Linked DNA regions of Caenorhabditis elegans. The protein of the gene in region 1 interacts with the protein of each later gene in a pairwise test. Each region holds a gene or a part of one and is shown in the gene's direction. Other genes may lie near its edges. The genes, in order: lec-6 and rab-11.1.

Region 1 (3,630 bases):
AAAATTTGCCTTGCTTAACAAACTCGGAAAAATCTAAATTTTATGTTATATTACTAGTTTTTTTGGAACAAAATCAATAGTTTTGGTCAAAATTGTATTGTCCAATTTTTGTTGTGTGCGGCAAATTCTAACGATTACCAAGATCGGCAAATGGCAAATTTGGTAAATTTGACGCACACCCCTAGTAGAAACGTTGTTCAAAATTCTTGGAAAAAATTATTACCACTTCAATAAGTTTGATAGTAGTCTAGAATCAAATTGGAATACGATGGTAATTAACAATGCTTTTAAAAAAAATTGAATTTGCAAAGGTCTAAATAATTTCCCATGCTCCATACGAAGAAAATGATTACTCAAATTTAACCGATATTCATGAATTGTAGAAAAATAACTTTCTGGTAATCGTCAAATTGTTTGACATTTTCCTTATCAATAATTAATCATCAAAATTATTGAGGAGAAAAAATCAGCTTCATGACTAAATTACATCACTACTAGCCGGAAATGCCATCATTGAACTTTTACGGACACGTGGCTCCTGGGTATACTTGAAAATCTTAAAGGTGGAGTACCGAAATCAGAGACTTTGTTTTTAGACCCAAAATAGCCCAAAACTACCGAATTTCGTAATGAGACGTTTTCAAAACTTCGCAAAAAAAAATTATGGCGGTTCAAAGTTCTGGAAAAACAGACCCATTTTCAGCTAAAATAAAATTTTCATTCTTTGATAAATATTGTGGTTTTTTATTAGGAGTTTATTGTTTGATTAAAGTGCATTTTCGGTCATTGGGGCACAAAAACATAGCTTTTATTTGTGCCCCACTGGCCGAAAATGTACTTAAACCAACGAATAAATGCGCATTAAACGATCACATTATTTATTAGAAAGTGGTAATTAAATACAAATTAACTTCCAGACGCAGCGACACCGAGAAGTTGGAAACAATTTGATTTTAGCTGAAAGTGGACCTTTTTCCAGATTTTTGAACTGCCATAACGTGTTGAGAAATTTTCAAGATGTCTCATTACGATATGCGGTAGTTTTGAGCCTAAAAAGCAAAGTCTCAGATTTCGGTACTCCACCTTTAAGCTTTAAGTTACTGTAAACTCAAGTTTCAGAAGTTTTTAAAAGTTCAATTTTTATAGTATTGGAAAGTTTACCACATACAATTGCAATATGGCTTAACGGAGGAAGATTTTAAGAAAATGCCACATTGAAATTCTCTGAAGATTCATTGAAAGGAAAAGTACTATTTATAAGTCAGCATTAAAAAAACTGCCACGTTATATATTGTTTAGCGCTAATAAAAACCCAAGCTATTAAAGAAAATTGCGGTATCTTCTGTCTTCAATGTCAGCGGGTTTTATTACATTATTGATCGGTTTTTCTTGGTGAGCTGGTATGTACCAAGTTCTCCCTGTAACTTGGCACTTCGATAATAAGGGTTGTAAATGGTGACGTGTGGAACGAGGAACAATTAAATAACTAAAATACGAATTTAGGTTGAAAAACTCCTAAAATAAAACAATTCAGAGATTTTGCAAATTTGTTAAAACTCTAGAATTTTATCACTACTTCCTCTCTTGACGTTTATCAGCACACATCTTAATTTCCAAACTAACTCGTGACATTCTTTATGCCGGGCTGAATTTTTCATCGAAAAGCCTTTTTCAGTTCAGTAAACAAGCAACTTATCATCGAAATAGTTCGAGGCGGAGCATATGCCAACTCATCAATAAGTTGATAAGAAACACTGCTTATAAGAGACGATGGCAGGTGTACAATGTACTCAAGCCTTTTTTTCCATGATTCATGTAGTAAGGAATTCTCTAGAATCGTATTTGATGACTCATAGGCAAGAATCCGCCCATTCTGTGATGTATAAATAGATGAGGATTGTTTACATTTATTGCCCAATTTCTATTTTTTTTTCGTTGAACATTTTCCCCCAGTAGACACCGAGAATTGTTTACTTTGCCGAGGGTTTTTCATACGCTCTTATCAACTTTCAAACTACTCGGCTTTTCGATCTTTAGACATTTTACATCACCTAGTGATAAAACATGCGATTTAGAGCCAAAGAATCAGCTTACAATTCTCATAGATGTACATTTTATACGAATAGTGGTCTTAGTATTGCTCCTAACATGTTTCCCTTCCCAACTCACACAGTTGATTTCAGAATCAACCATGATCGGAGGAGGAATCGGAATCAGCTTCCGCAACGAATTCTTCAACCCACAAACCCCAGTGAACATCCCAGTGCAAGGATTCTCCAACGGTGCTCGCCTCCGTCTCGTTCTTCTCCCAACATCCGCCGATTCTCGTTTCCACATCAATCTTCGCACTCCAGACGACATTGTTCTTCACTTCAACGCTAGATTCGATGAGGGAGCTGTTGTGAACAACTCGACCAGCGGAGGAGGTTGGCAATCCGAGGATCGTCACGCCAATCCATTCCAGCAGAACAAGATCTACACTCTGGAGTTTGTGTCCAACGGTGGAATTATCTCGGTTAGTTGGATTCTGGGCTTAAGAATGTTAAGGCGGACTGTGTTCGTGCAAAGCACGTGGTGCCAGACTGTCTCGTTGCGGTTTGATCTACAAAAAATGAGGGAATTTTTCGTGACATCAGCACACTCTTAATCATGCGAAATCAGTTGAGAAGTCAGCGCCTCTTCGGCCGCATTTTTTGAAGATCACACCAAAATGGGACACTTCGACACCACGTGGAAAAGTTTGATTTTTCGTACTCCCATCTCTGATGAGCATTGGATTTCGAGCCCTGTTCACCTACTGAAACTTAATCTTTAAACTATTATATTTTTCAGATCTTCGTCAACGGAGCCCACTTCGCTGACTTTGTCGAGCGTACTCCATCCCACGGAGTCCATCTCATTGAGATCGAGGGAGGAGTTCATGTTCATTCCGCCCATGTTTCTCACTAATTTATTTAATTTTTGGTTTAAAATACTCTTTCTTTATGATACATTTTGAATTTTTGTGCAAATTTCATATCAATAAACCTTGGTTTTGAATATTTCTATTTTCTAAATTCCGAAAAATGGATTCGCAGACACTGAGTCGAAGCGCCATATTTTACGCGCAATTTCGGCAGTAATGGTAGAGGTCACCGCTATAAAGTTGATAATTCATAGTTTATTATTATGAAGCATCAGTTTTAGCGTGCTTAGCGTCCCCTAATACTTTTTAATCATTACTTAGTTCCAAAGGGCATTTTCTCTTAAAACTTCTTATCTCGAAAAAATAGTGAAGGAATTCGATTTATTCTTCGGAAAAGATTTTTTTTTGAAAATTCTTAATCAGATTTTCACTTATTTTCTTTTAATAAAGCTTTATTTTCTATTTTATATCCACTCGTTCATTTAAAGCAAGTTTCAAAAACTGAAATCGAGGAAAATACTATTTTAGGGTACTGTAGTTCCTGTTCGGTGCAAACACTGTGGCTGCGGACCGGGCACCTTATTTGACGCACAAAATTTATTTGAATTATTTTTTTTCATTTTCTCTTCGTTTTTGTCTATTTTCCAGCCAAAATGCCTGTTTTCCATTAAGTTTTTCAAAACAATTATTCGAAAATTTAAATTCTAATTGAAAAATTGCAAGAA
Region 2 (3,785 bases), on another chromosome or scaffold:
TTGTAGAGGAGATCGTGGATGGTCTTGTTGTTTGGATAACCCCAAGCTACGTATGGCTCGATGATACGGAGAAGTGGAAGAGTAGCCTTGTTCAGCTTGACGAACACTCCGTTGTTGATCTGACGAAGACGGAGGATCTGGAGAGCCTGAAAACAAAGAATGGTTATTAAAAAACTCATTAACACAATTTCACCTTTCTTGGCTTTGGATGAAGCTGGTTGATACCGCGAATTCTGACGACGAAGGCGACCTTGTGCTCAGCTGGAACGTAGAAGTCTCCCTTGGCCTCAGCCTCGCGCTTGAGTCTGAGTCCTTCCTTTTGGGCGTTTCTGTACTCCTGGACGTATTTCTCAGCACGCTTGAAGTATTGGGTCTTCTTCTCCTTGTTCTTCTGTAAAAAATTTTATTTTTAATGCAGGATTAGTTCAAATTAATTTTCAAACACCTAAAAGAAAATTTAAACTTTAAAATTTCGAATTGTCATCGTGTTATTGAGACGCATTCTGAATTGAATACACCTCACCCAAAAACAAGATAATTCTTATAGCTCAGTTTTGACGGCTGGCTTGGATAATAGTGGATCCTAAAACCAGTGCTTTTGAAGAGCATTTTCTGTTTTCTGACAGTTAAATAAACTTACAGCGGCGACGGTCACCTTGTGTTGAGCAGCCTTGGTGCGGGCATCGGCTCTCTGCTTTCTGCGCTTGAGCACAGTTTCTGGAACCTGTGGCACTTTCTTTCTGAAAAACCAAGAATTAATATCAAAATTGAAGTATTTGAAAGTCAGGCCTAAAAGTAAATTTCAATCTAATATAAATTTATAAAGAAAACTTACGTTGGAGCCATTATAGGCGATTGATTACCTGGAAAATCAAAATATTAATCAGAAAAGAAAATTATAAGATATTGAAACAGAGGAGCAAGTTTTCAAAACTAAATTATTTCAGTATTTTTCGAATGTTCAGCATTTTCTTCACGAAAACTATAAAAAACGCGTATCAGAATTACGGGAAATTAGTTCTAAAATTTATTCTGATGAAAATTTAAGAAAATCAATGAAAAATGCTCTGAAAAAACGGAAAAATTCGTTAGGCCAAAAAGAAAAAAATGTAAAATTGAGATTCCGTTGCGCCGCTGCGAAAGGGGTACGGTAGTTGTCGTGCCGAGACCCGAGGAGGCTTGCGCTGCGGCTAGCGTCGCGTACCCTCAGACCGACGTGGCTGCGCCGGTGCGCCTGACCTGTTTTACGTTCGATTTTATGGGTTTCACACGCATTTCGCGTTCGGAAAAGCTTATTCTGGATGTTCACAGCCATAAAACTAATTATTTTTTTCAATTTTTAGCTGAAATTATCAAAAAAGAACACCCAGAGAAAGCTTTCCCTTGTTAAAAATATCCTGTTCAACTATTTCGAAATCGTGTCGACAAACAAAGTTCGGCCGCTCACCTTCCCTTTTTCGGGTATGATAAGCCTCAAATACTCTTTCATAACACACTTCTATATACATTTTCACATTTTTCTTCTGACTAACCACCCTCATATATTGATAAAATTCAATATAAAACTCCCAACTCCATATACTTTGAATCATTCTTAAATCAAGTTCACTTATATTTTTTCAATCCCCGTCGAGATAGACAACCGGTTCCTGACTCCGCGTTTGTGTCGGGAACAGAACATAAAAATATTCTCCGCCGATAAAACAGTGTCTCGTTCTTTTAATATCGATTTTACAACAAAACATTGCGCCCGGCTGATGAATCATGTGACCAATGCCCTTTTTCTTTTTTACAATCGTCCCAATATATACACAACTTTCAAACAAGCTTTATCATTTTACAGCTCAGCAGTAAAGATGGGCTCTCGTGACGATGAATACGACTACTTGTTCAAGGGTAATTTTGTTTTTCATTTTTCAATTCCCAAACGAAAAATTGTTTCAGTTGTTCTGATTGGAGACTCAGGCGTCGGAAAGTCGAATCTCCTGTCTCGTTTCACAAGAAATGAGTTCAACTTGGAATCAAAATCAACAATCGGAGTCGAGTTTGCCACGAGAAGCATCTCGGTGAGGAACTTCATTAGAATACACTTATGATTCAAATTATTATTTTTGTAGGTAGAAGGCAAGACAGTGAAGGCTCAAATTTGGGATACTGCTGGACAGGAACGTTACCGTGCCATCACATCCGCTTACTATCGTGGGGCTGTCGGAGCTCTCCTAGTCTACGACATCGCTAAGCATGTGACGTACGAGAATGTTGAGCGATGGTTGAAGGAGCTTCGTGATCACGCCGATCAGAACATTGTGATTATGTTGGTCGGAAACAAGAGCGACTTGCGCCATTTGCGTGCAGTTCCAACAGACGAGGCCAAGATCTACGCCGAAAGAAATCAATTGTCGTTTATTGGTAAGTTAAACTAATCTATTGCGTTTATATATTTTTTTTTTTCAGAAACATCTGCCCTCGACAGCACCAACGTTGAAGCAGCTTTCACTAATATCCTGACGGAAATCTACAAATCAGTATCCAACAAGCATGTAGGAACTGACAGACAAGGATATGGCGGTGGCAGTGGTACAATCATTCCTTCGCCAGCGTCCGACCCACCAAAGAAGCAGTGTTGCATCCCATAAATCACATCGTGTTTTTTTTTTTCAGTCTAACGTGTGTATTTTTCGAAATGCCTTGTCCATTTAATTTACTGCCCCCGAAATCCAAATGATTCGCTCTTAACATCCGCGAGTTTTATCGAATTCTTGCAAGCACTGCGTTTGCAAGTCTTCACCGTTTTGGTGTGTAGTATTTGTAACTTTCTTTCAGATTTATTTGTAATTGCCTCCATCCCCACCCCTTCCCCCTCCCCCCCCTCCGAACCTATACATTCGTCCCTTTTTCTTCAGAAGATTGTGATCTGAGTTGAGTGGTGCTGCTTTCTTACCATTTATCCGACTCAAGATTGTATGCCAACTTCAGCGACGTATTTTGAATATTTTTTCTTCACCCTTATTCAATATTATTCTGGCCCACCCCCACCCAATGTGTATATTACCTAAACTATTTTGGTTATTCGTAATGTGTGTCTCTTGTAGAACTCGATACCGAGAAACCCTCGCCAAGAAAGCAACGAAGACATATGCACATTGTTTTTAATCGAGTTTTATTTATTTCGCAATTTTTTTCCAAATAGTCATTTTCCATGAATAAATAAATATATCTAATTGATCTCCTATTTTGTGAAACATTTTCACTAAACGCTTGTACCAAATCACGTCCAGTTTTTTTATTTTGAATTCAAAATGAAAATCCGCATTTTCGCGCCGAGACCACTACAGTAACCTAAGGCCTAAAAATGTGCATTTTTGCGTGTTATTCTATGCATTGTCCGTACAGCGTTTCCATTTGAATTTTTTGAAGTTTTCCGATAAAAAAAAAGAAAAACTCCAAAAAAAAATTTCCCATTGAAAAATGTCGAAAAAAGAGACGCAGAGAAAGCGCTGCAAGACCCCACATCTGTGTGTTTGTCCTTCCTCAATCCTCCGGCTCTCTCGTCGCCTCGCCGTCTCTTTCAAATTCTCCATCTCTCCTCCCGTCTCTCTTAGTTGTTCTGGTGTATGCTTGCGTGCGTGCGTTGCGGACTACAAATCAGGACTTTTTCAAATTTATTTTAATGCTTGTTTAATTTTTAATTTTCCACCCCGTTAATTATTCTTATTTTCAATTATTAAATTGCAGAAAAATGTCCGAGAATCCTGAAAATTCGGGAGAATTGGCAGAAAATCAGG

Evidence for each region.
Region 2: the proteins of lec-6 (region 1) and rab-11.1 interact in a protein complementation assay, tested with the Caenorhabditis elegans proteins (one study listed by BioGRID).

The regions. Positions count from the first base shown.
Region 1 is NC_003281.10:598,920-602,549, reverse strand, and holds lec-6 (Galectin), read left to right. Parts: upstream 1-2,183; 5' UTR 2,184-2,191; coding exon 2,192-2,515; intron 2,516-2,832; coding exon 2,833-2,949; 3' UTR 2,950-3,040; downstream 3,041-3,630.
Region 2 is NC_003279.8:108,116-111,900, reverse strand, and holds rab-11.1 (Ras-related protein rab-11.1), read left to right. Parts: upstream 1-1,843; 5' UTR 1,844-1,856; coding exon 1,857-1,896; intron 1,897-1,944; coding exon 1,945-2,066; intron 2,067-2,117; coding exon 2,118-2,409; intron 2,410-2,454; coding exon 2,455-2,636; 3' UTR 2,637-3,227; downstream 3,228-3,785. Other genes in the region: rpl-7 (Large ribosomal subunit protein uL30), read right to left, coding at 1-146, 194-391, 641-740, 836-846; Y48G1C.8 (DUF7747 domain-containing protein), read left to right, coding at 3,740-3,785. UniProt on the Caenorhabditis elegans protein: The small GTPases Rab are key regulators of intracellular membrane trafficking, from the formation of transport vesicles to their fusion with membranes.